Macaca fascicularis: one gene and its partners. The protein of the gene in region 1 purifies or fractionates together with the protein of each later gene. This does not show direct contact. Links are inferred from orthologs where the notes say so. Each region holds a gene or a part of one and is shown in the gene's direction. Other genes may lie near its edges. The genes, in order: POLR2L, POLR3F, POLR3D, MED19, POLR3K, POLR1E and POLR3E.

What was found.
Region 2: the proteins of POLR2L (region 1) and POLR3F purify together in Homo sapiens (co-immunoprecipitation; 3 studies listed by BioGRID and IntAct, with this or other methods). This does not show direct contact. The link is inferred for Macaca fascicularis from reciprocal best matches to the Homo sapiens genes POLR2L and POLR3F.
Region 3: the proteins of POLR2L (region 1) and POLR3D purify together in Homo sapiens (affinity purification with mass spectrometry; 3 studies listed by BioGRID and IntAct, counting the BioPlex papers as one, with this or other methods). This does not show direct contact. The link is inferred for Macaca fascicularis from reciprocal best matches to the Homo sapiens genes POLR2L and POLR3D.
Region 4: the proteins of POLR2L (region 1) and MED19 purify together in Homo sapiens (affinity purification with mass spectrometry; 3 studies listed by BioGRID and IntAct, with this or other methods). This does not show direct contact. The link is inferred for Macaca fascicularis from reciprocal best matches to the Homo sapiens genes POLR2L and MED19.
Region 5: the proteins of POLR2L (region 1) and POLR3K purify together in Homo sapiens (affinity purification with mass spectrometry; 3 studies listed by BioGRID and IntAct, with this or other methods). This does not show direct contact. The link is inferred for Macaca fascicularis from reciprocal best matches to the Homo sapiens genes POLR2L and POLR3K.
Region 6: the proteins of POLR2L (region 1) and POLR1E purify together in Homo sapiens (affinity purification with mass spectrometry; 3 studies listed by BioGRID and IntAct, with this or other methods). This does not show direct contact. The link is inferred for Macaca fascicularis from reciprocal best matches to the Homo sapiens genes POLR2L and POLR1E.
Region 7: the proteins of POLR2L (region 1) and POLR3E purify together in Homo sapiens (affinity purification with mass spectrometry; 4 studies listed by BioGRID and IntAct, with this or other methods). This does not show direct contact. The link is inferred for Macaca fascicularis from reciprocal best matches to the Homo sapiens genes POLR2L and POLR3E.

What each region holds. Positions count from the first base shown.
Region 1 is NC_088388.1:742,499-746,765, reverse strand, and holds POLR2L (DNA-directed RNA polymerases I, II, and III subunit RPABC5), read left to right. Parts: upstream 1-1,475; 5' UTR 1,476-1,496; coding exon 1,497-1,591; intron 1,592-3,490; coding exon 3,491-3,599; 3' UTR 3,600-3,767; downstream 3,768-4,267. UniProt on the Homo sapiens protein: DNA-dependent RNA polymerase catalyzes the transcription of DNA into RNA using the four ribonucleoside triphosphates as substrates.
Region 2 is NC_088384.1:68,803,963-68,807,527, reverse strand, and holds part of POLR3F (DNA-directed RNA polymerase III subunit RPC6), read left to right. Parts: intron 1-179; coding exon 180-323; intron 324-535; coding exon 536-643; intron 644-2,076; coding exon 2,077-2,268; intron 2,269-3,565. UniProt on the Homo sapiens protein: DNA-dependent RNA polymerase catalyzes the transcription of DNA into RNA using the four ribonucleoside triphosphates as substrates.
Region 3 is NC_088382.1:25,316,016-25,320,195, forward strand, and holds the start of POLR3D (DNA-directed RNA polymerase III subunit RPC4), read left to right. Parts: upstream 1-1,344; 5' UTR 1,345-1,429; exon of another isoform or gene 1,430-1,466; intron 1,467-1,692; 5' UTR 1,693-1,697; coding exon 1,698-1,862; intron 1,863-3,461; coding exon 3,462-3,505; intron 3,506-4,090; coding exon 4,091-4,180. UniProt on the Homo sapiens protein: DNA-dependent RNA polymerase catalyzes the transcription of DNA into RNA using the four ribonucleoside triphosphates as substrates.
Region 4 is NC_088388.1:15,893,012-15,897,025, forward strand, and holds the start of MED19 (mediator of RNA polymerase II transcription subunit 19), read left to right. Parts: upstream 1-1,203; 5' UTR 1,204-1,236; coding exon 1,237-1,453; intron 1,454-4,014. Other genes in the region: TMX2 (thioredoxin-related transmembrane protein 2), read right to left, coding at 612-800. UniProt on the Homo sapiens protein: Component of the Mediator complex, a coactivator involved in the regulated transcription of nearly all RNA polymerase II-dependent genes.
Region 5 is NC_088394.1:781,852-786,200, reverse strand, and holds the start of POLR3K (DNA-directed RNA polymerase III subunit RPC10), read left to right. Parts: upstream 1-1,529; 5' UTR 1,530-1,581; coding exon 1,582-1,692; intron 1,693-4,113; coding exon 4,114-4,201; intron 4,202-4,349. Other genes in the region: SNRNP25 (U11/U12 small nuclear ribonucleoprotein 25 kDa protein), read right to left, coding at 1,112-1,255. UniProt on the Homo sapiens protein: Core component of RNA polymerase III (Pol III) which synthesizes small non-coding RNAs using the four ribonucleoside triphosphates as substrates. Can mediate Pol I proofreading of the nascent RNA transcript.
Region 6 is NC_088389.1:61,840,581-61,844,889, reverse strand, and holds the start of POLR1E (DNA-directed RNA polymerase I subunit RPA49), read left to right. Parts: upstream 1-1,457; 5' UTR 1,458-1,559; coding exon 1,560-1,635; intron 1,636-2,134; exon of another isoform or gene 2,135-2,205; coding exon 2,206-2,309; intron 2,310-3,407; coding exon 3,408-3,484; intron 3,485-4,309. UniProt on the Homo sapiens protein: Component of RNA polymerase I (Pol I), a DNA-dependent RNA polymerase which synthesizes ribosomal RNA precursors using the four ribonucleoside triphosphates as substrates.
Region 7 is NC_088394.1:21,283,750-21,287,974, forward strand, and holds the start of POLR3E (DNA-directed RNA polymerase III subunit RPC5), read left to right. Parts: upstream 1-1,393; 5' UTR 1,394-1,511; intron 1,512-2,860; 5' UTR 2,861-2,956; intron 2,957-4,201; exon of another isoform or gene 4,202-4,225. UniProt on the Homo sapiens protein: DNA-dependent RNA polymerase catalyzes the transcription of DNA into RNA using the four ribonucleoside triphosphates as substrates.

The sequences.
Region 1 (4,267 bases):
GCCTCCGCTCGTGGCTCTGCACGTGGCTGGGTGGGGTATGACAAATGCCACTGGGGAAGCTGCCCAGGGCCCTGGCCAGGTTGGGAGCAGAAATCCCAAGTGTGCAGTGGATCTGGCCAGCACCACTCTGGATCCAGAAAACCCTTCATCCTCCTCCCCTGCAACTAAGGCAGACCCAGCATTGCCCTGAGAAAGCGGCAGCTGATGCCTGGAACCCAGCACAGGTCCCACCCCAGCTGGAAGCCCCAGCCCAGAGCCCCCCCATGGGTGCCACTTTGCAGCCCACCCACCCCCCCACAGCCTACCTGGCACCTCCAAGGAGTCTTCTTTGCCTCCTACTGCACACCGACCCCCCATTTCCTCACCCCCACCCTAGGGGCACAGCAAGGAGGGTGCTGGTGCCAGCCCCCCCGCACTCCATCCGAGAGACACGGGCTCCCCCTCCCTCGTCCTCCGTAGGCCCTGAGCTCCAGGGCAAGGCAGAGCTGCGGCCTTCAGCGGGTCCTGCCAGTGCAGCCTCCGGGAGTCTGCCCAGGGGTCCCCTGTGCCGCGGTCTTCAAGGTTCAATTCAAAGAGCACCTCTTCCACGACGCCCTCCCCGACCTCCCTCCCGGGCCCCCTCTCCCCGTGCTCAGAGGCGCGTCTCAGCGTCGGGACGGCCAGCAGCCCAGCAGAGCCGGGACCGGGGAGGGCGCACCCCGACCCCCTTCCTGGGAAGGAGCGGAAAGAACGCGGACAGGAGGCCGGGGCGGGGAGCAGCCGGCGGGGGCCGTAACTGCGCGGCCGAGGCCAGGACGGCGCTCCTAGGGGCTGGGCCGCGTCCAGAATGGGACCCCCGAACTCGGCGCCGAGAGCCCCGGACACCCCGCGAGTAGAGGCGGAGGCGGAGGGACCCACTACCCGGCGGGGCCAAGAGGGGCAGCAGGAAGACCCGCCCCGGTCCGCGCCCGCCCTCTCCCCAAGCCCCCGCGCCGGACCCCACTTGTTGCTGCGTGTCGGCTCTAGGCTCGAACTCGCGCGCCCCGCTCGCGTCCGGCTCCAGCCGCTCCCGGTCGGACACCTCGGGCCGCGAGACCCTGGCCGCACGCCCCCACGACCCCCCGGGCGCTCTACCTGCGCCGCCGCCTCCCGCTCGCTTCGTCCGCTCCCTCCGCGCAGCTGTCAGTCAAGCGGACACGAGAAACGCGAACCGCCACCGCGGCTTTCGGCCCTGCTCAGACGCCGTAGCTCCGGGACGCACCAAGATGGTGGGCGGGGGTGTGTCGTCTGTTGCTGCCGCGGCCGTGCAGGCCCAGGAGCCCCGGGCCGCATGGGGAATCCCCATGGCGGCGGAAATTGCGGCCAGCTGCGCCGGGGCCAGTGTATGAACGGCTGGGGCAGCGGAGAACGAGCGGAGCCGGTCCCCCCGCGATAGTGGACGCGCCCGGGGCGGGGCCTGGGGGGAGTGCTTCCCGTGCGGCCGGACCGGGCCGGGCAGTCTGGGACGCGCCGCCGCCATGATCATTCCTGTACGGTGTTTCACTTGCGGCAAGATCGTCGGCAACAAGTGGGAGGCCTACCTGGGGCTGCTGCAGGCCGAGTACACTGAGGGGTGAGGCGCGGGCTGGGGCCGGGGCTGGGGGCTGAGTCCGCCCTGGGGTGCGGGCCGGGGCGGGAGGCGCAGCGCTGCCTGGGGCCGGCGCTCCATGAGCAGCTTCATACCCGGCCACTCCGGCCCAGCTCTGTGATCTGCTTTCGGGAGAACATTGTCCCCTGAAGTCTGGGGAGAGAGCGGAGTTGGGCTTCAAACCAGTGGTGTCCTGGGGATTCTAGGTGGCCTGGCGGGTGGCAGGCGTCTTGTCACCCGCAGTAAAGCCCTTGGTCTCCGTCCTAATCTCTCGTCTCTGCTCCCAGACCCACCCCATGTCCTGCAAACCTCGCTGCAGGACAGGCGGGCGCGGCGGCTCACGCCTGTAATCCCAGAAGTTTGGGAGGCCGAGGCGAGAGGCTTGCTTGAGCCCAGGAGGTCGAGACCAGCCTGGACAACCTGGGGAGACCCTGATCTCCAGAAATTTTTTCTTTTTTTTTTTTGGGGGGGACGGAGTCTCGCTCTGTCGCCCAGGCTGGAGTGCAGCGGCGCGATCTCGGCTCAGTGCAACCTCTGCTTCCTGGGCTCCAGGAATTCTCCCCAGTCGCCGGGACTACAGGCGTGTCCACGCCCGGCTAATTTTTGTATTTTTAGTAGAGATAGGAGTTCGCCATGTTGGCCAGGCTGGTCTCGAACTCCTGACCTCAGGTGATCCACCTGCCTCGGCCTCCTGGAGTGCTGAGATGACAGGTGTGAGCCACCGCCCCTGGCCCTCTTATCTTTTTAATTCCCCGGACTTGGTGGTGCACACCTGTGGTCCCAGCTACTTGGAAGGCTGAGGCGAGAGAATCGCTTGAGGCTGGGAGGCAGGTGAAGATTTCAGTGAGCCGAGATCACGCCACTGCACTCCAGCCTGGATGAGAGAGTGAAACTCCGTGTCACGCACACACACACACACACACAGAAAAAGAAATGCAGGGCAGACTTGCTGACCACCCTCATCATCGGGCTTTGTGGGGGAGGCATCCTTCTCCTGTGCTTGTCCCTCAGTGCTGCTGTCACCACCGTGCCTGAGTCTTGGTGCCCCTGCTGGAGTCTGACCCTTGCCTGCTGAGTCCTGGTCACATGTGAAACCCCAGGCTCGTGTGTGCCAGCCTGCCATAGGCTCTCAGTGCAGCTTGCTGGACGAATGAGTAAAGCGAGTGGGCTGCCAGAGTGAGTGGCTGGTGGCCTGTCCAGACCCTTTCCCAGGGATATGAACTGCAGGGGCCTCCCATGTGGCCTCCCCTTTCCCAAGCTTCTCTCTCTGCACATTGGAGCCATCAGTGTGGGAGTTTTCTGGAAGTATTGATGGTGACTGGACCTTGGTCCCAGGGAAATTAAAGCTTCTAATTGGCTTGGGAAATGGGAGAGGTGGCTCCCTGGAGAAGCAGTCTCTCCCTGATTGAAGGAAGCAGAGGTGAGAAAAGACGCCACAGTGGCAGAGTAGGGCTTGCTCTGGGGTGGGGGATGAACCAGCTAAGGGCAGGCCCCTGGAGAGCTACCCTGCTGTGGCTGGTGCGGGATGAGGGGAGCTGCGCATCAGGACCTCGGTGGCCTTGGTTTTCTATGCTCCCCCAATTACCTCTAGTTTTCGTTTCATTTATATTTCTTACATATGTTAGACACACATATGTACAGCCAGAGTAGGTGGGAGAGAAGGCTCCTCACGCTCCACCCAGGGATCTGGGCATTGCCAGGTTACTCCAGCCAGGATCATACCGCTAGGTCTCTACTTCTCATCCAGGTGAATGTGTTCGCCTTGCCGGTAGCAGGGGAGTGAGGCCAGCAGGCAGTGAGAGGCGGCCTGGATGTGGGCTCCAGGCCTGTGCAGACCGTGGAGAACTCAGCTGGCCTCTCTGTTCCTCCCCTCGCTTGACACAGGGATGCGCTGGACGCCCTGGGCCTGAAGCGCTACTGCTGCCGCCGGATGCTGCTGGCCCACGTGGACCTGATCGAGAAGCTGCTCAATTATGCACCCCTGGAGAAGTGACCAGGCTGGAATCCGCCTACCTGCCATGCTGACCATGGGCCATGAGCATCCTGCCCCAAGTTCACAAGGCTGAGGCATCCAGGAGCTGGCGCAATGCCTCGCCACAGCGTGTGTGTGTCCCATCCCCCACTCTGGAAGGAACAATCCAGTAAAGGTCTTTCAGAACTACCAAGGTCCCAGCCCTCACTAGGATGTCAGGGGCCAGGACTAGGCCCAGCTTTCACCGCGGCAGCCCAGGGAAGCCGACTGGGCCATGAATTCTCCTAGCCCTGGGGCCAGCCTGTTCCACAGGTACCCCTGCAGGAGGTGCTGCCAGGAGAGCCTTCCATCTCAGGGCTGAGGTTCCCTCCTTCTGGGTGCTCTTCAGACTGAGCAGAGGCTCCTGTACTCTCTCTCTTGGAATCTGAAGAGCCAGATTTAGGCCAGGCACGGTGGCTCACCCCTATAATCCCAGCACTTTGGGAGGCCAAGGCGGGTGGATCACGAGGTCAGGAGATTGAGGCCATGCTGGCTAACACGGTGAAACCCCGTCTCTACTAAACATACAAAACAAAAAAAACAGCCAGGCGAGGTGCCGGGCGCCTGTAGTCCCAGCTACTCGGGAGGCTGAGGCAGGAGAACTGCTTGAACCCGGGAGGGGGAGCTTGCAGTGAGCCGAGATTGCGCCA
Region 2 (3,565 bases), on another chromosome or scaffold:
AGTGTACCACACTAATCCAAGACGTTAAAAATAGGTGAGACAATGTGGAGCATATAGGAGCTCTGTGTACTATCCTTGCAATAATTCTGTACGTCTTAAACTGTTCCAAAATATAGGTGTTTTTCTTTTCGTTTTTGGAAATTGTTATAAACACATGAACTGTGCATGTTCTTTCCTAGGCCTCAAAAAAGAAGGTGTACATGCTCTATAACCTGCAGCCGGACCGGTCTGTGACTGGCGGAGCCTGGTATAGTGACCAGGATTTTGAATCTGAGTTTGTAGAGGTGCTGAACCAACAGTGTTTTAAATTCCTACAATCCAAGGTGAGGTATGATTGAAGAAACATCACTGCAAACCCTCTTGTAAAAAGTTTTTCATAGAGAATTTTAATCTATCATATTTTATAGGAATTAAAAACCTGAAATTGGTAATTTTTACTAAACTAAATATGTTCTGCTGTTGGTTTCAGTATAAAGTGTATTCAGAAAACACACCAATATTCTTGCTTAGATTTCTTATGTTTCAATCCTTATAGGCAGAAACTGCACGAGAAAGCAAACAGAACCCAATGATACAAAGAAATAGTTCATTTGCCTCATCACATGAAGTGTGGAAATATATCTGTGAATTGGGAATCAGTAAGGTCAGAACTGAATTTCATCTTATTTTTTAAAACATATTCTTCATCACATACAGTATATTCCAAACATGTATTTGACCCAGACTGTTTTTTGGGGGATGATAGCTACGAACATTCTCCAGAATCCACTTTGGGAAAATACTGTCCTGTATCTTAAGCAAAGGCAGTCGCTGCCATTGGGCATTGTCTGAACTGACACTAAGCTTGGGACACTGATGCTTTTTAAATTTTTTTTGGAAATAGGGTCTCATTTTGTTGCCCAGGCTGGTTTTAAACTATTGGACTCAACTGATCCTCCTGCGTTGGCCTCCCAAAGTGCCACTGTACCTTAGCCTTTTGAAATTCTTTTTTTTAAGGACACTGATGCTTTTCACAGTGAAGAAGTGGCCATTTGGACATTTCATTTTAATTTCCTGGGCCTCAGATTTCTCATTTATAAAAACTAGGAACTGGCCGGGCGCGGTGGCTCAAGCCTGTAATCCCAGCACTTTGGGAGGCCGAGACAGGCGGATCACGAGGTCAGGAGATCGAGACCATCCTGGCTGACACGGTGAAACCCCGTCTCTACTTTAAAAATACAAAAAAACTAGCCGGGCGAGGTGGCGGGCGCCTGTACTCCCAGCTACTCGAGAGGCTGAGGCAGGAGAATGGCGTGAACCCAGGAGGCGGAGCTTGCAGTGAGCTGAGATCCGGCCACTGCACTCCAGCCTGGGCGGCAGAGCGAGACTCCGTCTCAAAAAATAAAAATAAAAATAAAAAAATAAAAACTAGGAACTTGGACTATTTGATGTTTAAAGTGCCTTTCTGCTCAAGCATTTTATAAATCTCCAATAAATTCCTGCTAAAGAAATGCTACTTTTTTATAAGATTTCTAGATTTTACTTAAGAAGTAAAAAATACCAGAAAGTGTCAAACTCAGCATGCGCTTAGAGTTCTGTCCCTGGCATTTCAGTGGTTTGTGCTAACTTGGACTATTGTTCCTCCTCTTTGTGCTTCAAATTACTCCACCCCAGCATAATGTTTCTCCCATTTCACAGAAGAATTGTGACCCTTTACTGTTTTATTTATTTGTTTGAGATGGAGTTTGGCTCTTGTTGCCCAGGCTGGAGTGCAGTGGTGTGATCTCAGCTCACTGCAACCTCCGCCTCCCATGTTCAAACCATTCTCTTGCCTCAGCCTCCCGAGTAGGTGGGATTACAAATGCCCACCACCACACCTAGCTAATTTTTGTATTTTTAGTAAAGATGGGGTTTTGCCACATTGGCTAGGCTGCTCTCAAACTGCTGACCTCAGGTGATCCACCTGCCTCGGCCTCCCAAAGTGCTGGGATTACAGGCGTGAGCCACCGCGCCCAGCAACCGTTTACTGTTTTAACACCCTCCAAGTGGATATCTCCCTGTCCTATTTGTGTCCTTTCTGATGTATCCCTTTTTTAGGTAGAGTTATCCATGGAGGACATTGAAACCATCCTGAATACACTCATTTATGATGGAAAAGTGGAGATGACGATCATCGCTGCAAAAGAAGGCACAGTTGGCAGTGTAGACGGACACATGAAACTGTACAGGGCAGTCAGTCCAATCATCCCTCCCACGGGTTTGGTCCGGGCACCCTGTGGACTCTGCCCGGTGAGTTACAGTGGCTTCACTTTACACTTGACTGCCCCTGGGTGCAAGTGCCACATTAAGAAACAGAGCAAGCACACCCCAGTTTTCTCAGACTCTTAGGGTTGACCAAGAGCTATTCAAACCTCTGTGAAACCTTGATGAACAGACCTTTAATGAACAAATCATTGCTTTACATTCTTTTTTTTTTTTTTTTTTGAGATGGAGTCTCACTCTATCGCCTAGGCTGGAGTGCAGTGGCACGATCTTGACTCACTGCAACCTCCACCTCCCAAGTTCAAGCGGCTCTCCTGCCTCAGCCTCCCGAGTATCTGGGATTACAGGCACCCGCCACCATGCCCAACTAATTTTTTGTGTTTTTAGTGGAGATGGGGTTTCACCATATTGGCCAGACTGGTCTTGAACTCCTGACCTCAGGTGATCCCCTCGGCCTCCCAAAGTGCTGAGATTACAGGCATGTGCCACCATATCCAGCCTCCTGCTTTACATTCTTTCTTGGAATAACCACATTAAGGATATTTGCGTTTTCTGCTCTTGGCCTTGAAATGGACACTTTTTGATGAGGGCTAATCATTTCACCTAAATAGGGCAGAAAATGAGATTTGTTGAGAACCTACCTTGGGCCAGGTGTGTCCTTGATGATTTCCATAGGTGGTCTCATTTAATCTTCCTTACCTTCTTGAAGCTCGTGGTGTTACTTCCCCTTAAAAGTGAGGGAGCTTAGGCTTAGGAAGACCTAGGGGCCTATAGCTTAGAAGTAACTGGGATTCAAACCCAGAGATCATGTCTTTCCCCTGCAGCATGCCCCAGCACTCCTCCTTCATTCGTTCCCAAATTTTATAAGTGCCAACTCTATGCTCTAGTCACTAAGGATACAAGAGAAAGTATAAGACACTGTTCCAGTCCTCATGGCATTTATAGTCATGAGCCTGCGTGTGTTTTATTTCATTATATCAGCCTTTGTCTATATGCCTAAGCTCTCTATGCCCTGGTTTCAATCTGTAGACAAAAGGCTAACATATTAGGAATTCTATTTTGCACCCTTCACAAAAAGGTAGCTAAACATGAAACATTCGGTAAATCAAAATCAAGTCATTCATATGTATAGGTCTCCCTGCCTGTTTTCCTGTGTTACCTGGTGATGACCTTTTGCCCAGCAGACAGGTGAGCATGGTCATCTTAATGCCACAGTAAAAGGCCTCTCTACTACTCCTAACTTGATGATCACAAAGCGGGCCCTATTATAGTATGCTCTTTTTTTTTTGGTTTTTTTTTTTTTGGTTTTTTTTTTTTTTGCAGA
Region 3 (4,180 bases), on another chromosome or scaffold:
AAAGAAAACAAAAACCAAAACAAAATTGAAAAAAAGCACGTCGAATGTACCAGATATTCACTACAGCATTATTTAAAACAGGGAAAAAAGAAACAATCAGGGAAATACTTAAATCATGATACAGCCACTGGAGAACTATGCAGTCTTTGATGCCGTAACAGAGAAATGTTATTTGAAAAAGCAGGATACAGGCCAGGCGCAGTGGCTGACGCCTGTAACCCCAGCACATTGGGAGGCCGAGGCGGGTGGCATCACTCGAGCTCAGGAGTTCAAGACCAGTGTGAGCAACACAGTGAAATCCCGTCTCTACCAAAAATACAAAAAAAAAAAAAAAAGAAAAAAGAAAAAGAAAAAGAAAAAAGAAAAAAAAAATTAGCCGGGCGTGGTGGCATGTATTTAGAGTCCCAGCTACTTGGGAGGCTGAGGTGGGAGCATGGCTTGAGGCTGGGAGGCAGAGGTTGCAGTATGCAGAAACCTCGCCTCAAAAAAAGAAAAGAAAAAGGATACGAAATTGTGATACAACTCTGTGAAGACTACTAGACACATTACAAAATTTTTAATAGTAGTACTCTACGTGGCATTCTGGTAGAAACGATTTCCTTTCCTCAAACTCCCCGTAATAATGTTTTTATACGGTCTGGGGGGATGGGAGATAACATTAAACGACACTTTTTATATCACAAACGCTGGAGTCAATAAAAGTTCTTTAAATTCCTCCAGCAGTAGAGCAAACTTGGTATTCCGATTCTGTCCAGGCTTTGACCAAGAGCGCACCCGAGGGCCACCGCCTTCGTGATCCCAAGCGGGTGTGACTGGGCACCAGTTGGTCCACTGCGGCTGTTCCAACGCTGCCCTCACAGCCTCACCCCAGGACTCCACCAGGAGCACAGGGAAGGGGTCCCCGAGAGTGGGCGAGGTCGCTGCCCGGAGGTAGTGACCACTCCAAGGTCACCATGGAGAACCCGCAGACAGGGCTCGGCACGGCCCAAGACTCCCCGACTCTAAGTCCAGGTCTCGCTCTCTGTGCCGCGCCCCTCGTCCCATCCCGAGCAGCTACCCCCAAGCTCCCAGGGGCTCCGCCGAGGCGAAGCCTCACATTGCGGCTTGGCGGCCGACAAGACCCGCGACCCTGATCTCGGCACCTCCACGCCACCGCCCGGGGGCCAAGACCCCCGAGCACCGCCACATAGCGTAGCCCAGACCGGTTCCCTCATCCTTTTTCGCCCTCTCAACCCAGCTTTTCCCGACTCCGGGAAGAACCGGGAAGAGAAGGCGGAGGGGAGCGAAGCGCCGCCTGATAAATACTGTGGCCCAGTCCCGCCCCCGAAACGTCACATCCGGCCCGTGCCAAGATGGCAGCGCCCAGGCGGTGCCACGCAGACTTCCGCCCGGTGCGGAGACCTAAAGCTGGCAGCGGGTCGCGTCGCAGGTGAAGTGGTGACGCGCGGTGTGGAGCCGCGGCCCGGGTGCGTCCCTGCCTGGTTCCTGGGCGGGGTTCCTGGAGAGAGGGCGTGTCGCGAGCCAAAGGCTCTCACCTGGGTGGTCCCGGGAATCTCGCCACGTGGGAGGGGAGGAGCTGAGAGGCCACTGGAGGGACGCACCGACTGGGGGACCGGAAAGCAAGGGGGTTGGGTTCCGCCAGGGTCCGCGTGTCAGTCCACTCTGGTAATCTCGTCCCCCCTTCTCTCCCAGGCAACATGTCGGAAGGAAACGCCGCCGGCGAGCCCAGCACTCCGGGAGGGCCCCGACCCCTCCTGACTGGGGCCCGGGGGCTCATCGGGCGGCGGCCGGCGCCTCCCCTCACCCCCGGCCGCCTTCCCTCCATCCGTTCCAGGGACCTCACCCTCGGGGGAGTCAAGAAGGTATCCAACGGCGCGTTTCTAAAGAAACTCAACTACCTTGAATTCCAAGCCCCGGCATTCAACTGATGTTTGTGTAGGGCCTACTATGTGTCAGGAGTGTCGTTGGGCCTCAAGCCTACCCCTCTTTAAATTCTAGGGAGCCTGTCCTATCTTCAAATCTAGGTACTGAGTACAAAATGTTGAAATGAGTCCCAGAGGTGGTTGAAAGACAGAGAATCCTAATAAGTTAAAGTCGTTCAAAAGTAATTTGAACAGTGTTTATTTACTCTTATTGTGTGTTTGGACATTTTTAAGAAACCCATGAAAGCCAGGCAGGCATAAACTTCACAGTCTTAGAGCGTTCAGAATTCACCATCTCAGTGTGCAAACTTGTTATCTAGAGTATCATGAATCCTAGGCATGGCATTCGAGGCTCTGTGGGCTGTCCCATGTGTATATGACTGTGGATGTCAAGAGTAGCCCAGAAAGGGGTGGTGTCAGGATGACAGAAGAATAAAGCAGGTTTTTGGGTTTTTTTTTTGAGACGAAGTCTCGCCCTAGTCCCCCAAACTGGAGTGTAATGGCATGATCTTGGCTCACTGCAACCTCTGCCTCCCGGGTTTGAGTGATTCTCCTGCCTCAGCCTCCTGAGTAGCTGGGATTACAGGTGCCCGCCACCATGTCCAGCTGATTTTTGTATTTTTAGTAGACACAAGGTTTCACCATGTTGGCCAGGCTGTTCTTGAACCCCTGACCTTGTGATCCACCCACCTCGGCCTCCCAAAGTGCTGGGATTACAGGCGTGAGCCACCGCTCCCGGCCAAATAAAGCAGTTTTTTTTGTTTGTTTGTTTTGTTTTTAACAGAGTCTCTTTCTGTCGCCCAGGCTGTAGCACAGAGGCACCATCTCAGCTCACTGCAACCTCCACCTCCTGGGGTTCAAGCGATTCTCCTCCCTCAGCCTCCCGAGTAGCTGGGATTACAGAGGCCTGCCACCGCACCTGGCTAATTTTTGTAGTTTTTAGTAGAGACGGGGTTTCACCATCTTGGCCAGGCTGATCTTGAACTCCTGACCTCATGATCCACCTGCCTTGGCCTCCCAAAGTGCTGCGATTACAGGCGTGAGCCACCACGCCTGGACATAAAGCAGTCTTTAGAAACCTAACTTTGCCTTGGAAAATATGGAAAAACACTGCCAACAGTGATTGAGAGTATTGGCAGATCTGTGGCCTTCCCTACTTAGGCCTTGCTGCTAGAGATGTTCCCCCATGATACTGACTGGTCTCTATAGCAGTTTGAAGATAAGAGGTGAGACCAGAGAAATTCCTTTGCTTTTAGAAGTCCCAGAGGACCTTCTTTCAGGATCTTCTTTCCTAAGGCTGCTGGTTAAAAATGGTTTTTGGTGCCCCTTTCTTCTATGCATAACTCCACTGCCACCACACCATGACGTTCCTCCTTTTCAGGCACACGTGTATCTAGAAAACTGACAGCACTGTGGAATGTGCCAAAGAGAGTCATGGTGGCCGTGGTCTGTAGAAGATGCCCGTTGGGAGTTTTTATTTTCCTCTGTACTTTGGGATCAGGACCTAACACATCAGTGACTCCTGTATTTTGCTTTCAGAAAACCTTCACCCCAAATATCATCAGTCGGAAGATCAAGGAAGAGTAAGTAGCTAGTCCTTCTGAATACTTGCCCCTTATTTACTTGCTCTGAATTTGGGGCTTTGGGGAGAAATAAGTAGGTTTGTGGCTCCAAAATTTAAATTTATATCTTTAGTTCTTTTCACTAGTGATTTTCAACCCTGGCTCCTAGGTGATTCTAATGTTTAAGCTTTAAAAAAAAAAAATACTGGTGTCTAGGGTTCCATCTCTAGAAATTGTGATTTAACTTGTTGGCAGTAGAATGGAGTGATTCTCTTTGATGGCCCGAGTTGAGAGCCAATAGTTTAAACAAAGATGTATCACGCTTTCCCTGAAGTTCCTTTGCATTTCTGCCTTCCTGCTTTCAGTCCCAATGCAAACAAAAATCTACATTTTTGGACAAGAACGTAAAGTAAAGCAAACTGAAAAAATCCTGCCTCATCAAGGAAGTGAGAAAAGTGCTAGAATTAGGATTGGATTCTGCTTCTCATGGTGTAATTATTGGCTCAAACTCTCCGCTGTCTTGGAGTGAAGTGGTATGGGAGAGTAAGGCCAGTTTTTGGAGACACAGTGAGTGAGTGGTTTCCCTTAATCCATTCTTTTTTCCAGGCCCAAGGAAGAAGTAACTGTCAAGAAGGAGAAGCGTGAAAGGGACAGAGACCGACAGCGAGAGGGGCATGGACGAGGACGAGGCCGCCC
Region 4 (4,014 bases), about 15 Mb from region 1:
CCTTTACAGTAGCCCCAAAATTTTATCCACTTTCGCATCCTCAGGATCAAGCAGAGTGCCTAGAGTGTACACTCTAGAAATGTTGATTGAATTAAGAAACGGCTGACAGTGTGTGCAGGTAGTGTGGCCACAAGAATAGTTTCAAGTCCCAGGCACTCATTAGTTGCATGACCTGGGGCAAGTCGCCTAAATATACCAAGATCCATTCCTTCACCAATGAAACAGGACTACTACTACTTGCCTTCCCTACCTTACTGGCTCCTCAGGAGGCTTTACATAATGAGCGGCACTGTAAGATGCTATACACGTATATGTACAGTTTTGACAGGGCTGTTTCTTAGTCTAAATGGTGAAATGGAAAGAAACCTGGACTCAACAGTCAGAAGCTGTTGGGCCGTTGTACAGGGCTACGACTAACAGGTTCCGTTTTCCCATATTAAACACAAAGTTTAGTCTCGACGATGTTTCGGACTCTGCACTTTACAGTCTGTTAAATCCGCTACAGGCTCGGAACCTCAGGTGTCCTCAGAAAGGTAAACCCCAGGGTTCCCAGATGCACCTGCAAGGGCAGGGACAGTCAAGGTCGCGGTACTGAGACGCGGGACGCTCACCCAGTCAAAGTCACACGGGTTACCGTCTTCGCGTTGGGTGGGCAAACCGTCGCAGAGTGGCGGCAGTTTCCTCACGAGTAGGAAGGCAGCAGAGAGCAGGGCCGACAGAAGGTAGTAAGGTTGGGCAAGCCATCGTGAAAGTCGCGGCACCGAATACACCAGAGCAATTAGAGGAGCCAAGACCGCCATCTTTTCGGCCGCAAGGGCCACTGCTCACCGGCGTCGTAGGTCCGGCCCCGCCTCCCCCACCATAGCGACTGCTATTGGGCTACATCTCAAACGTACGGCCTCTAAACCCGGATGTAGTTCTGTCAACGCTGTGGTATGTCAGAACCCAAAAAAGAACTTAATATCTTATTGGTTGGTCTAGCTGTCGCTTTATCAGCTTAAGTCATTTTATTGGACTGTAGCTAACGTAGCTAGCAGAAGACTCTAATAAGGTTAAATAGCACTTCCTGAACGTTCTCAGAGAGCGACGGAAGTAGTTGTTGAAACAAGGTAGGCGGTGCCTGAGGCATCCAATGACAAGCGGTTCCTTGAGAAAGAGGTGGGTATTCCTTAAAGGCATTGTCCAATGAAAATTACCAACGCCAGACACCGAGACAGCGCCGGGGCGGAGGGGACGATGGAGAATTTCACGGCGCTGTTCGGGGCTCAGGCTGACCCACCACCGCCCCCAACCGCACTAGGCTTCGGACCAGGAAAGCCTCCACCCCCGCCACCGCCTCCTCCGGGCGGGGGACCCGGCACGGCTCCGCCTCCCACCGCGGCCACGGCCCCTCCCGGCGCGGACAAGTCAGGAGCTGGCTGTGGCCCTTTTTACCTCATGAGGGAACTGCCAGGTGAGTACTCGGCCTTGCCAAAGCCAGCCAATCAAATCTTAGAGAGGAGGTGTTGGGCGTGGCTCTCAGCCGGCTAACGGAGGTGCGAGGTAACCTAGGCAACGCATACCCGGACTGTGGAGCCCTAAGTCGAAAGGGCTATTAGGATTCACAAGCAGAGGGATGAGTTGAATTCAACCAAAGGGATGAATGGCGGGGAGCGGGGTGGTGCATCTCCGTGACTGTCTTTTGCACCATGTCCAGGCTGTGTTCCTGACACTGGTTTATGTCTCCCTAAAAAATTATCTAGGGCTGGGCGCAGTGGCTCACGCCTGTAATCCCAACACTCTGGGAGACGGAGGCGGGCGAATCACCTCAGGTCAGGAGTTCGAGACCAGCCTGGCCAACATGATGCAACTCTGTCTGTACTAAAAACACAAAAATTACTTGGGCGTGGTGGCGTATGCCTTTAATTCCAGCTACTCGGAACCCGGGAGGCGGAGGTTGCATTGAGCCGAGATTGCTCCACTGCACTCCAGCCTGGGCGATAGAATGAGACTCCGTCTCAAAACAAAAACAAACAAACAAAAAATCAAGAGTTTGAGTTTGGAACTCGAGAGGCCTGATTTAATATCTTTGGGGACCTAAAGTTTTAGTTACAAGTCTCCCACAGACTTGCTGTGGGTTTGGGGCAAGTTGCCACTCTTCCAAGATTTCTGCGTTTCCTGGTGTCATCAAAGAAGGGGTAAGAATCGAACCAAACTCTTTTCATTCAAAAAATTATTTTGTTGAGTACCTATGTACCAAGCACTTTTCTAAATGCTGGAGATACAGTTGTGAACGAGACTGACAAGATGCTTGCCTTTTTTGGAATGTACATTTCAGTGTAGGAGGCATTGTAAACAAGATAATGTCAGAGAGTGGTTAATGCTAGGAAGAGAAAACATTATAAAAAATTGAAGGTGGCCAGGCGCATTGCTCACGCCTGTAATCCCAGCGCTTGGGTAGGCTGAGGCAGGAGGATCCCTTGAGCCCAGGAGTTTGAGACCAGCCTGGGCAACATGGCGAGACCCAGTCTCTACAAAACATACAAGATTAGCCGGCCGTGGTAGTGCTTGCCTGTAGCCCCAGCTACTCAGGAGACTAAGGGAGGAGAATTGCTTGAACACAGGAGGTCCAGGCTGCAGTGAACCAAGATTGTGCCACTGCACTCCAGCCTGGGCAACAGATGAGACCCTGTCTCTTAAAAAAAAAATTGAGGGGCAGAACTACTTTAGCTAGAGTGGCCAGAGATGCTCTCTCCACATAGCTAAAATTTGAACTAAAATGTAAGCATAGACAAAGGGCCAGCCAGCTATGGACAGGAGGGAGAGATAATTCTAGATACAGGAAATGAGGTCAGAAACCCTGATGTGAGAAAAAGCTTAGAATATCTGAGGGACAGAAAATCAGTTGGACTCCAGTGAAGTGAACAAAAGGAAAGAGTGTTAGGAGAGAGATGAAGCTGGGAGAGTTAGGCAGAGGCTTTTATAAAGCAATAAAGGCATTTAGATTGTAAATACAAAAGGAAGCCATTTAAAACAATTTTTTATAGAGACAAGGTCTCACTGTGTCACCCAGGCTGGACTGCAGTGGTACAGTCATAGCTCACTGTAACCTCCAATTCCTAGGCGCATGCTGTCCTCCCACCTCAGCCTCCCAAGTAGCTAGGACTGCAGGCATGTGCCACCACAGTTGGCTAACTTAAAAATTTTTTGTAAAGACTGGGTCTTACTGTGTTGCCCAAGCTGGTCTTGAACTCCTGGCCAATGACAGTCCTCCCACCTTGGCCACCCAAAGTGCTAGGATTATAGGCCTGAGCCACTGTGCCCAGCCAAGGAAAGCCATTTTAACATAGGAACTTGGTCAAATGTACTTATTTAGAGAAGTAAATGGATACAGGGTGTTAGACGTAGAGCTGACAGGGTTGAAAAGCTGAATATAGGGCCAGGTGCTGTGGCTAACGCCAGTAATCCCAGCACTTTGGGAGGCTGAGGTGGGAGGACTGCTTGAGCCCAAAAGTTTGAGACCAGCCTGGGCAATATAATGAGACCCCATCTCTACAAAAAATAAAAGTAAATTAGCTAGGGATAGCAGCGTACACCTGTAGTCTCAGCTACTTAGGAAGCTGAGGTGGTAGAATCACTTGAGCCCAGGAAGTTGAGGCTGCAGTGAGCTGTGATTGTGCCACTGTGCTCCAGCTTAGATGATAGAGGAAGAAGCTGTCTCAGTTAAAAATACATATTGTATATAGAAGTGAAGGAGATAGAAGAATTGATGCCTTTTTAAGTTTTCAGCTTGAATAATTGGGTGTATGGGTATGAGACTTGGAAGATGAGGAAGGAACAAGTTTGAAGAGGTGGAAATCGAGTTGTTTTGGACATGTTTGGTCTCCAAGATGCTGCCTTTCTCTCTCTTTTTTTTTTTTTTTTTTTTCTCCTGAGACAGAGTTTTGCTCTTGTTGCGCAGGCTGGAGTGCAATGGCGCAATCTCGGCTCACTGAAACCTCCGCCTCCCAGGTTCAGGCGATTCTCCTGCCTCAG
Region 5 (4,349 bases), on another chromosome or scaffold:
ATGAGGATCCATCCCCAGGGGTGGGTGGGGTCCTGTCAGTTCACCCTGAGTATCCCTGATCATCAGGACCCAGGCCAGGGCCCAGGACTGAGTAAGGCAGGTGTACACAAAAAACGGTAATAACAAATATTTTAATACAACATTTAAGAAATACAAGGCAATTAAAATATCCATGATGAGCAAAATATAAAACATTTAAAACTGGCCGGGTGCGGTGGTCCACGCCTGTAATCCCAGCACTTGGGAGGCCGAGGCCAGCGGATCACTAGATCAGGAGATTGAGACCATCCTGGCCAACATGGTGAAACCCCGTCTCCACTAAAATACAAAAAATTAGCCGGGCGTTGTGCCGTGTTCCTGTAGTGAACCTGGGAGTGGGAGGTTGCAGTGAGCCAAGATCGCACCACTACACTCCAGCCTGGCGACAAATCAAGACTCAGTCTCAAATAAATAAAAAGTATCGTGCCAAAGCATATTGACGCTTGAGGCAAATGGAACTAAGTTTTTTCGTTTATCGTAGGGTTTTTTTTTTTTTTTTTTTTTTTTTTGCATCACCTTTGACTTTTAAAGCTATTACAGGCCGAGTGGGTGGCTCACACCTATAATCCCAGCTTTTTGGGAGGCTGAGGTAGGAGAATCGCCTGAGCCCAGGAGTTTGACACCAGCCTGGGCAACATAGTGGGACTCCCTCTGTACAAAAAATTTAAAAATTAGCCGGGTGTGGTGGCGCGCATCTGTGGTCCCAATTACTCCGGAGGCTGAGGTGGGAGGATGGCTTGAGCTCAGGAGGTGCAGGCTGCAGTGAGCCAAGATCGCTCCACTGCACTCCAGCCTGGGCGACAGAGCAAGACCCTGTCCCCCCAGCCCCCTAAATACAATTACATTAAAATTTCATTTAATGTCACTCACTAATGAGGGTTTTGGTTCCTCTTTAAACTTCGCGCCGCAGGCGAGTGTGCCTGGCCAAGGTAAAGACCCTTGTTTACGCCCAGAGGCGCCTTCCTCAGCCTTGGGCCGCAGCCTCCCACCAGCACCTTCAGAGGCTGCGCGCGCCCGGACGCCCGGCCCCCGGGGAACGACTCCCGCCCCCCTGGCCCCCGCCAGCACACACCTGGATCGGCAGATCGCAGAGCAGCGGGTCCTGCACCACCATAGCCAGACCCTCCTGGAACACGTCCATGGCCTCGGAGTGCGGCAGCGCCTCTTCTTCGTCCTCATCTTCCTCTTGCGCCTCGGACCCACCCGCGGCCTCCATCTCCTCCAGGGCAGCACCTCTCAGCCGGTCTCTGCCGGCACTTCCAGTACGCACTAGGGAGGCCAAGCGCGCACGCGCAGGAACTGCGGCCGGTCCCAGCGAGGCCGCCCAGCCATTGGTGCGCCGAGGGGTGGGGCGGCTGCAGTGACCAATGACAAGTGCGAGACAGCCAGCAGCAGGGCTGGGAGCGCAGAATCGCCCTGTCTATTGGTTGGTGGGCGGGGCGAGGCGGCCGCCAGGACCAATGTAAGCTCGAGGCGGGCCGCGCGTCGGCGCTGAGCGGCAGTGTGAGCTGCCGGTGGTTGGCGCCTGCGGAGTTCGAGACCATGCTGCTATTCTGCCCCGGCTGCGGGAACGGGCTGATCGTGGAGGAGGGACAACGCTGCCACCGCTTCGCCTGCAACACGTGCCCCTACGTGCACAACATCACCCGCAAGGTGGGACCCGAAGGCCGGCGCTGGGCCGCGGGCGCCTCTCGCAGGCCTTCCCCTTCCTCCGACTGCGGCGCCATCGCCGCCAGCCCCGGCGTCTGCCTCTGTCCGCTCTTTCTCGCTCCCCCTTCCGGTCTGCAGCAGATCTGTGGGCTCTTTCTGTGGGCTCCAGCACACTCAGAAAGCCCCACCGTTTCCCGCCTCCTTGGGTTCCTGCTCCCACGCTTGCGCCCTCCTCTGCGTTCACAGCAGCGGCCACGGCGATTCCCTTAAAGCTGAGGCACGTAGGTCCGTGCTGTGCGCAGAAACCTTCGGCCGTTCCCCAGCTCGTGCAGACGAAAAGCTGGAATTCTTCCAGGGCCTACCATGTTCAGACACTGACCCCCTCCCCGACTTGCTTCTCCGATTTCAAGTCCTATTGCCCTTTGCCCCATCAACACCAGCCTCCTGGACGATCTCTCATTGTGCACATGGCGCTCGCAGGGCCTTTGCACTTACTGTTACTAACTTCGCTCTTCCCCTAGATAGCCACCTTACTCATTGGTCTTGTCTTTACCGTATTTTAAATTGCAGCCCCTCCGTCCAATGTATCCTCCTTCCCTTTGTAATTGTTTCCACAGGGCTTGTTACCTTCGAATACATTACGTAATGTATCGTGTGCTTTGTTTATTAATAGTAGGACCTGGCCGGGCGCCGTGGCTCACGCCTCTAATCCCAGCACTTTCGGAGGCCAAGGCGGGTGTATCACTTGAGGTTAGGAGTTCGAGACCAGCCTGACTGACATGATGAAACCCCATCTCTACTAAAAATACAAAAATTAGCCGGGCATGGTGGCAGGCGCCTGTAATCCCAGCTATTCGGGAGACCGAGGCAGGAGAATGGCTTGAACTTGGGCGGCGGAGGTTTCAGTGAGCCAAGATCGCGCCACTGCACTCCAGCCTGGGCAACAAGAGTGAAACTCCGTTTCAAAAAAAAGAAAAAAAAAGTAGGACCTAAGGTCTAGGAGGGCAGAGGTTTTCCGTTTTGTTCCCTTCTATGTTATATTCTGAACAACTAAAATGAAACCTAGAATATAGTAGGTGTTCAGTAAGCAGATGATGCATGCTTTATTATAACTTGTTGTTTTCCTTTGATAATACATATTTTCTTTTTACTTTTTAGAATACTTTTACTTTTTTTTTTTTTTTTGAGACGGAGTCTCCCTCTGTCGCCCAGGCTGGAGTGCAGTGGCGCCATCTCGGTTCACTGCAAGCTTCGCCTCCCGTGTTCACGCCATTCTCCTGCCTCAGCCTCCCTAGTAGCTGGGACTATAGGCGCCCACCACCACGCCCGGCTAATTTTTAATATTTTTAGTAGAGACAGGGTTTCACCGTGTTAGCCAGGATGGTCTCAATCTCCTGACCTTGTGATCCGCCCGCCTCGGCCTCCCAAAGTGCTGGGATTACAGGTGTGAGCCACCACGCCTGGCCAATTTTTTTGTGTTTTTAGTGGACAGGCTTTCCCCGTGTATTAGCCAGGATGGTCTCGATCTCCTGACCTTGTGATCCGCCTGCCTTGGCCTCCCAAAGTGCTGGGATTACAGGCGTGAGCCACCGTGCCCAGCTTTTTTTTTTTTTTTTTGAGACACAGTCTGGCTTTGCTTCCCAGGCTGGAGTGCAATGGTGCAATCTCGGCTCACTGCCACCTCTGCCTCCCGGGTTCAAACAATTCTTCTGCCTTAGCTTCCTGAGTAGCTGGGATTACAGGCTCCTGCCACCACCCCCCAGCTAATTTTTGTATTTTTGGTAAAGACGGGGTTTCACCACGGTGACCAGGCTGGTCTCGAACTCCTGACCTCAGGTGATCCACTTGCCTTGGTCTCCCAAAGTGCTGGGATTACAGGCATGAGCCACGACGTCTGGCCAGAATACCTTTATTTTTAGAAGTTAGAATATGTTGGTGCTACCGCCGGGCGCGGTGGCTCACGCCTGTAATCCCAGCACTTTGGGAGGCCGAGGCGGGCGGATCACAAGGTCAGGAGATCGAGACCACGGTGAAACCCCGTCTCTACTAAAAATACAAAAAATTAGCCGGGCGCGGTGGCGGGCGCCTGTAGTCCCAGCTACTCAGGAGGCTGAGGCAGGAGAATGGCGTAAACCCAGGAGGCGGAGCTTGCAGTGAGCCGAGATCGCGCCACTGCACTCCAGCCTGGGCGACAGAGCGAGACTCCGTCTCAAAAAACAAAACAAAACAAAACAAAAAAAAGAATATGTTGGTGCTACCTCAGTCTTAATGTTTGCATGCTACTACATTTTGTACTGTGTTGTGGGAGTTTGGAGTTGGAAACTGTGGGAAGAGTGAACTCTTATATAATCCTGAAATTCGAGGTTTGGCAGCCCAGGTTTGTGCTATGCAGTTACCTGGAGTCTGAAGTGTTGTTTTTGTTAGGTAACAAATCGGAAGTACCCAAAACTGAAAGAAGTGGATGATGTGCTTGGTGGAGCAGCTGCCTGGGAGAATGTTGACTCTACTGCAGGTAAGAGGGAACACTGTTTCTGTTGCTAAACTGGATAATTATGAGGCTGTTGATGCCACTGCATGGCAGAGTCTGTGATGTCATATAAATGATGTAGGTTTCTAAAAATAGAAATGGTTTTTGAATAATTTATTAGTATTTGTTACTG
Region 6 (4,309 bases), on another chromosome or scaffold:
CCCGGAAGGTCAAGGCTGCAGTGAGCCCTGTTTGCAACACTGCACTCCAGCCTGGGTGACAGACTGAGACCCTATCTCAAAAAACAAACAAACAACAAACGCTGGGACAATGGTAAACTTAAATGGGATGTGAGGATTACATGGTAGTAATGTACCAGTGTTAATTTCCTGATTGTTTTCTGTTTAATTTTTTTTTTTTTTTTTTTTTGGTCGCCCAGGCTACAGTGCAATGGCACCATCACAGCTCACTGCAGCCTTTGCCTCCTAGGCTCAAGCAATCCTCCCACCTCAGCCTCCTGAGTAGCTGGGACGACAGGCGTGTGCCACCACACGTGACTAATGATTATTTTTTTGTAGAGACAGGGTCTTGTTATGTTGCCCAGCCTGGTCTCAAATTCCTAGAATCAAGGGATAGAACTGCCTCTGCCTCTGCGCCTGGCAATTTGCTGATGGCTGTGTTGTTATTTAGGGAACGTCCTTGTCTGTAGGAAATACTATAGTCTTCGGGGTGAAAGGGTATCAGGTTGACAGCTTACTCTAAATGGTTCAGGGCAAAAAAAGTTCTTGCAGTGTTTCTTTAAGTTTGAGACTGGGTAATTAGAAAAGAGTGACAAGTTGCAGGCTTTAAGATTATTCCTAGGATTCTGGGTGTTGGAGGAGGGTGTGAGGATGTGTGGAAGGAAAAGAGTCCTGAAAGAAGGTGATTTGGAAGACAGAGGGGAGTCAGCCTGAGTTCTTGCCCTTCAATAGCACGCATCTTTGGGCAAAGGGGGCCTCGGCCAGGGTCCATGCTTAAAGGTCCTGCTTTTGCCTTTTTTGTGCTCTGAAAACTCCCCGTGCAGAAGAATGGTTGAATCCGCAGTGAAAAAGGGACATGTCTATCAGCTCGGACTCCCTCTTCTATTTCAGTCCAGAATCTCCTGGCCAAAGGCCCTGGGGTTGGTTGGGCTTCTGTTCCATCACCTCAGGGTTGATCGGGCCACATGTGTGCACGCCACAGCGCATTGCGGGGCGCTGTTTGTCGGACTGTGGACAAAGCTTGTACCTAGAACTGGATGTCCACGTGGGTGGGTGGGAGGTCCTAGAGAGGGGCGGCTTTTTGCCAGCGGCCACATTTAGTTGGGGCTCAAGGAGTTCCTGTTAGAGAATTCTAAATTTGAACTTGGTCTTTCAGGTCTTGGGAAGACGTGTTTGTCACGGTAGGAGAGAGACGACACTCTCTCTAGACTGTGCTGAGCCGGAAGAAGGCTCACAGCAAGCTTAGGCTGAAGCCGTAGGATGCCTCAGGCTCTGGACCTACAACACCCAGAGCGCAGGCGAGCGCTGAGCTAATCACGTGCTGCGCCTCGGCCAGTCGCGCGAGTATGTGGCACCTTGTGGGCGGAGACCGCGCCTCTCCGCGCGGGGGGCGGGGACACGCGGCTCGCGCACTGTGGGCGGTGCCCGGCTGGGGCCACGCCTTTTCCGGCCTGCCGCGCGGCGTAGGCTCCCGCGTGTTTAAAAGCGGGTTTGTGGCTACTGCTGTCTTAACTGTTGTACTTGGCGGACAAACAGGCGAGATGGCGGCGGAGGTGTTGCCGAGTGCGAGGTGGCAGTATTGTGGGGCGCCCGACGGGAGCCAGAGAGCTGTACTGGGTAAAGACTGCAGAGCTGGAGCAGTGCTCCTCTAACCCTCCCCCCTTCCGTCTCGGTATCTCAGCTGTCCCCTCGCACTCCGTTAGGCTTCTCCCCAGCGGGGCCAGGACGCCTGTAGTCTCCACCACTCTCCTGGGCTCGGTCGGGGCTGCCCTGTCCGTCTTTCTGTCACTACCGCCCAGCCGGATTGGGACATCCCACTCACCCGCTCCCCAGGGCTGTGTCCAGGACCCTGCTGTCCCCTCACCCACCAGGTCTCCCACCTCCCCCGTTTCCCTCTCTTCACTGGGCAGGGGTTCCTTCTGTCACTTTAGGTGTGGACCAGGCGTCTGCTGTCAGCCTCCTTCCGCGAGACATTCCCCCTTGTTACAGCCCCTCCCCAGGGTTCTCCCACCTCCCTAACCCCTCTTCTCAGCTGGCCCCGGATCTCCTCTAGTTCCCTTTGGGTCAGGACCCGAGCTTCCTTGCCATCCCCATTCTGACACTCACTCCCTCCCAGTGACAGTCTAGTCCCACCGTACATTGTGTGGCCTTCTGCTCTCACCTGATTCTTGGGCTGCACTCTTACAGTCCAGTTCTCCAACGGGAAGCTACAGAGTCCGGGCAACATGCGCTTTACCTTGTATGAGAACAAAGATTCCACCAACCCCAGGAAGAGGAATCAACGGATCCTGGTAAGTGAAGCAGTTGCCAGCTGCCTCCACTCTGCAGGGCTCAGAAGGCGCCTGGGAGTGGGTGGTGTGGGAGGGAGTGAGGGGAGAAACAGGAGAGTAGTAGCAAATGGACCTTTGAAGAACTCTGATGCCCAGCAACTTGGGATGTGGGGACAGGCTCCATCTTTCATTCATTTATTCTTTCAACAAGCATTTATGGAACCTCCTCTGTATCCCTGTGCTGCAAGCTTCTAGGAAAACAGCCAAATCAGGCCTAGCCCCACTCGGAGTTCATACTCTAGAACAGGGTTTCTTAACCTCAGGACTATTGACTTTTGGGGCCAATAATTCTTTGCTGTGGGGGCAGCATCCCTAGTCTCTACTCACTGGATGCCAGTAGCACCAGAGTGGATTTCCCTGGATTGAGAACCTCTGCTCTAGAGAGATGAGAACTGGCTGTGAGGGACACTTTTACACAAAGCTCTGAGGCCACGTGCGGAAGATTACAGGGCAGAGTGAGCTCAGTGGGAGGAGAGGTCTCTGCCAGAATGCCTTCCTTGGGGAGGTCATGTTGGAGCTGAGCCTTGAAGGCTGGAACGAGGGTTTGGCAGTCAAGGTTTGGTGTTCTAAGTGAAAAGGATAGCGAGGACAAATGCAGAGAAGCAGGAAAGCTTGCTTATGATTGGGGAGTCAATCAGCCATGGTCCTGAGAGTATACAAAGAACAGCCATGGGAGAGATGGGCAAAGAAGGTGAAAAAGGGCTTGGACTTTGGGCCAAAGAGAGATTGCTTACAGAATCACTTTGTTGCATGCCTGTAAGTGCTAGAAGCCCAGGGCCTCTCTCTCAAGTCTTGTGATAGAATTCCCCCAAGAGCTTTTCATACCATTAGAAGCTAGCACCATCTGAGGCTTCTCTTCCAAAAGTTGTCTTGCTTCCCCCGCAGGGACACCCCATATTCCCTTAGAGAGAGTGGAGCTGGATCATCTGCCAGAGATGAACTAGTTCTAATCCATTGTGAGTCTGGATTCAAAAGCCTCAGCAAATGTAGAAAAGAGAGATGATGCTTAATACCTTTCAACATTGGTTGTAAATGGAGTTTCTCCTCTCTGCATTTTAGGCAGCTGAAACAGATAGACTTTCCTATGTGGGAAACAATTTTGGTACTGGAGCCCTCAAATGCAACACTTTGTGCAGGTAATGGCAGGGGAAGGGACAGCGGGAAGGGTGATGGGGTTGGGAGTGGTGGCAGCACTGGCACTGCTGTTTCCTGTCTGTCTTAAGGGCAGTAGGAGCCATCTAGAGCGGTTTACTAGGTGATTCCTGTGTTCCTATTAGACATAGAGCCCTTCCCCTCACCTGTAGACATTGCTGGAAAGGAAAGATAACTTGAATTTCCTGAAAACCTCATTTGTAACCTTGTTTGTTTATAGCTGTCTTATTCCAAAAGGCAGTTCTCTCCATTAATTTGGAATGTGTGACTAGTAGGTCAAAGCTTGCGTGAAGTTTACCTGGGAACTAACGACAGGTAAAGAACTTGGTAGTGTTGAAGGCTCTGGGCTGGGAAAGAGAAGCCTGGGATTCCCATCCCTCTGTGCTGCTGTTTGACTGAGTGGCTGGGTAACTCTGCCCATCACTGACCCCTAGTCTGTACAATGAAGATTGTCCAACCTCAACTATATCACTCTCGGGGGCTGGCATGATGCAGACAGGGCCCTGTGATGGTACCCAACAATGAACTACAAACCAGGCCCTTTCTGAGCCTTACTGGACCATACTCCAATAGAGGTCAGATTGCTGTATAGGTGCTGAGAACTACTAACCCTGCACTCTCCCCTCTCAACGATGCCCTAGTTCCAACTGGTCTCCTTCCCGTTTACTTGATTTTGCCTCCATAAAACTGTTGTGCCATAAATTCTAGTGTAATTCTAGATTCCTACACCCCAAAAGAGTTTTCCATTACAGTACAGCAGCGAGCCCGAATGTGATCAACTACCAGAATCACCTGGTAGCTTTTTTCTT
Region 7 (4,225 bases), on another chromosome or scaffold:
AAGAAAAGAAAAGAAAAAAAGCCACAATAATGATAGTCATTAATTTAATGCCAGGTGGTGGCACTATGGATGATGATTTTTTTTCTTTGTAATTTTTGTACATTTTTGTACAAAAGATATATAGTGTTTTAGTCCATTTTCTGTTGCTTATAACAGAATACCTGAAACTGGGTAATCTGTAAAGAAAAGGAAGTTACTTATTACAGTTATGGAGGCTGATAAGTCCAAGCGCAAGAGTGTGCATCTGACGAGGGCCTTCTTGCTGGTGGGGTACCCCTGCAGAGTCCTCAGGCAGTACAAGCCATGATATGGAGGAGGTGCTGAGCTGTTCACTTGCTGGCTCAGGTCTAGCACTTATAAAGCTCCCACTTATAAAGCCATCAGTCCCCCTCCCAAGATAACCTATTAATCCATTAACCCATGAATCCATGAATAGATTAATCCACTCATGAGGGCTCCACCCTCATGATCTAATCACCTCTTAAAGGGCCCACCACACAATACTGCCACATTGGGGATTAAATTTCCAACACATGAAATTTGGGGGACACATTCAAACCATAGTACATATTAAACTGATAATAATGGTTACTTAACCTCTGCGGAGGGGCCTAGGATGCGAGTCAAGAGTCAAAGAGCATTTGTACCTTATCTGCAAAGTTTAAATATTTTACAATAATTCGTGTGTTATTTGTGTAAGTAAAAATTTAAACACATAATTTCTCAGAGACAACTGCCCAGACCAGCCCCCGGGTTTGGCCGTCAGATCCCCTAGGGCGTGTTTCTGATCAGATCGATTTCTTCTCCCGGAGACACGCAATCCGGGTCGTATGGATTACTTGTGAGTTAACCAGGGGTCTCCAGGGTAACCATCCATCTCAGAGTACAGTTTCTAAAAATGAGTTTTGCTCTAATACCTATTCGGAACAAACCTGGGTCTAAAAACTGGAGCAAGTGTTTATTTTCCAGCACACGGCTTTTTAAAATAATTCTATAGGGATCAGCTTGAACACACATTAAACAAAAAAACCTCAGCGAAAACGCCTCGCGATTTCCAGATGAAATGCGAATGCAAAAGCATTAAGTAGCGTTCTGGCAAACCCTTTCTCCAGCTGGGTAGCGTGGCCGAGCGGTCTAAGGCGCTGGATTAAGGCTCCAGTCTCTTCGGGGGCGTGGGTTCGAATCCCACCGCTGCCAGGGTTGGTTTCTTTTTGTTCCCCGCTGCATACACGCCCGGCTGTTTTGCGCGTGCCATCAGCGCCCCCTGCTGCAGGGCGGGGCTCACGGCCTGCATGAATGGCGCGGCGGAGGGGGCGGAGCCGTGTGCGCCGGGGCGGGGCATTGTGGGTAAGAGGAAGCGCTGGGGCCGGCCCGCTCCCCCCACGTGTCCGCCGGAGTTTCTCCACCAGCAACATGGCCGCCGCCTGAGAGGAGAGCCGGGCCGCCGCCGCATCTGCAGCCCGCGGGTAACTGGGCGGTTGCCGCCGTCCGCGCTCGGCCCCCGCGGAGAGGTGAGTCCCATCTTGGCAGCGCCCGAGCTGGGGCTTGAGCCGGACCGCACTCATGACGTGGGTCTGGGCTAGATTCCCGAGTAGGCCAAGGAGGCCCGCGCCGCGCCGTGCTGAGGGGCTGGGGGCCTCTCGGGACTCGGGCGGGAGGAGGGGCAGCCGGCTCCAGGCCGACCCCGGACTCCTACTTCCCCGACCCGACACCTGGGAGTTGGGGAGGCCGCGGCCGACGCTGCCGGCGGTGACTCAGGGTCCTGCCGACCTGCCCCACCCGGGCCTGGGGGGCATCCTACGGAAGGAACACCTGTCCTCGGCGTCGGGTGTGGTGGCGGCTCGCGGCAGGGACTGCGTGGTGGGCGTGAGAAGGGGTCCTGACCACCCGCGAGGGAGCAGAAACCCATTGGACAGCGAGGCTCGGGGTCGGCGGCCCGCCCCGATGGGCAGGGAGGGCACCTGCGCCTGCCGGAGCCCCCTCTTCGCAGCTGAACCGGATTAGCTTCTGCCTGGCGAGGCCTGGGATTCCTCGTTCATTTATTCAGGCAACCATTCAGTGTTTACTGAGCCAACTCTGTGCTCCGGATACGGCCCTGACCATTCGGTCCGAGGAGGTGTCAGTAAACAAACAAGGTCGTTCCTTTGGGTTAGCTTTAGAATTCCTTGGGCTTGGAGGCGGAAAGAAGAGATCTTAGCGATCTCAACAGTTCCTCATCTGTGAAATGGGGATAATAGAAATTCCTACCTCATAGGGTTGTGGTGATGGCTCATTAGAAACCAGGTGACGCTCCCGCTTGCAGCGTTTTTACCCGCCTACATTGGCAGAAAACATGTTGTCAAGTAATAACGAACCTTCCCATAGGTTACGTTTATTACCGTCTTTACTCCTCCCCGCAGCTGTTTGTAGGTCGGTACTTAGTTTCCCTACTTTAGGGATGAAAATAGGGAAGAATACCAGACGTAGACAACTCAAGTAGGTCACAGATGCGAAGCAGCTGCGGTGGGATTTGAACCCGCGTAGTTTTGCTCCGGAGTTCAGGCTCTTACCCACTTAACCATACTGCCTTTTATCGAAGATCTGTGCAGTATACTGGTTAAGAATAAGAATAAGGATCTTTGACATCAACGAGACCCTAGTTTCTGTCCTGATTCCACCTCGGATGAGTTACTTCTCTCTCAACCTCAGTCTCCTCATTTCCAAATTGAAGATGATAAATCTCTATTAATAGGGCTAATGAGAAGATTAAATATAAAGTATTCTTTGTACTATATTGAGTGTCAACTTCGTGCCAGGCACTGTTCTAGGTATTGAGAGATCTAGCAGTGGATATATATTTTTTTTAATCTTCATTTCATAGTTGAGGAAACTGAAGCACTGAGAAGCCTTCATGGAGCTTACATTCTATTGCAGAAGACAACACCTGAGCAAATAGACCAGGTAGTTCCAGATTAAGGTGAGACCCATTAAGGAAAGAAAATAGAGATGTGGTAGTGCCTGGGAGGAAGTTGGGGGAGGCTTTTAAAATAGGGTGGCCAGGGAACCTATCCTCTCCTGCAGGCGGTGATGATACTTAATAAAAAGGAGCAACCTTGGAAATCCCTGTGGGGGAATAGATGATGTGCAAAGGACCTTGGGTGGACTGGGGCTTGGCTTGGTGGAGGCCCAGCAAGTGGCTACCAGCCTGGATGGTCAGGGGAAGTCAGAGACAAGATCATGTAGGGCCTTAGGCGGCTCATGGAAAGGAGTTTGGGTTTTGTTTTATGTGACAGTGACAGTTGACAGGTTTTAGGCAGGGAAATAATGATTTACATTTTTTTTTTTTTTAAGATGAAGTCTTGCTGTGTTACCCAGTCTCGAGTGCAGTGGCAAGATCTCAGCTCACTGCAACCTCTGCCTCCTGGGTTCAAACGATTCTTCTGCCTCAGCCTCCCAAGTAGCTGGGATTACAGGTGTGCATCACCACACCTGGCTGATTTTTGTATTTTTAGTGGAGACGGGGTTTCACCTTATTGGCCAGGCTGTTCTGGAACTCCTGACCTCAGGTGATCTGCCTGCCTCAGTTTCCTAAAGTGCTGGGATTACAGGCGTGAGCCAGCGTGCCTGGCCCCGCCCCGAATAGAGATAGAGTCTCACCCTGTGACTCAGGATGGAACACAGTGGTGTGATCATAGCTCACTGCAGCCTCAAACTCCTGGATTCAACCAGTCCTGCTGCCTCAACTTCCCAAGTCATTGGGACTGCAGGCCACGCTGGGCTAATTTTTTTTTTTTTTTTTTTTTAAAGAGAGACCGGGGGTCGGGGGGGGGTCTCACTATGTTGCTCAGGCTGGTCTTGAACTCCTGGTCTCAGGCAGTCCTTCCACCTAAGCCTCCCAAAGTGTTGGGATTACTGGCATGAGCCACCACGCCAGCCTTTCCAAGGACTCACTGTTGCTGGGAGACTTTGAGGCAGGTAGCCATAGGGAGACATGGATGAGTTCTTTTCACATTGCAGATTGAGATTTATTAGTGGGAAGTAAAATTGATTTAGTGGAATTGAAGCTAGCATTTTTTGTTTTGAATGAATGAAGTAGAAAACATCACTGCCTGACATATAGTAGAGACAGAGTTATATGAAACTTTGTTTCAGTTACGCAACTGTGTGTATGTTCTGGGTTATTTATATGAGATGAATTTCATGTTGTTTTTTTTTTCCCCAGAGACGGAGCCTTGCTCTGTCACCC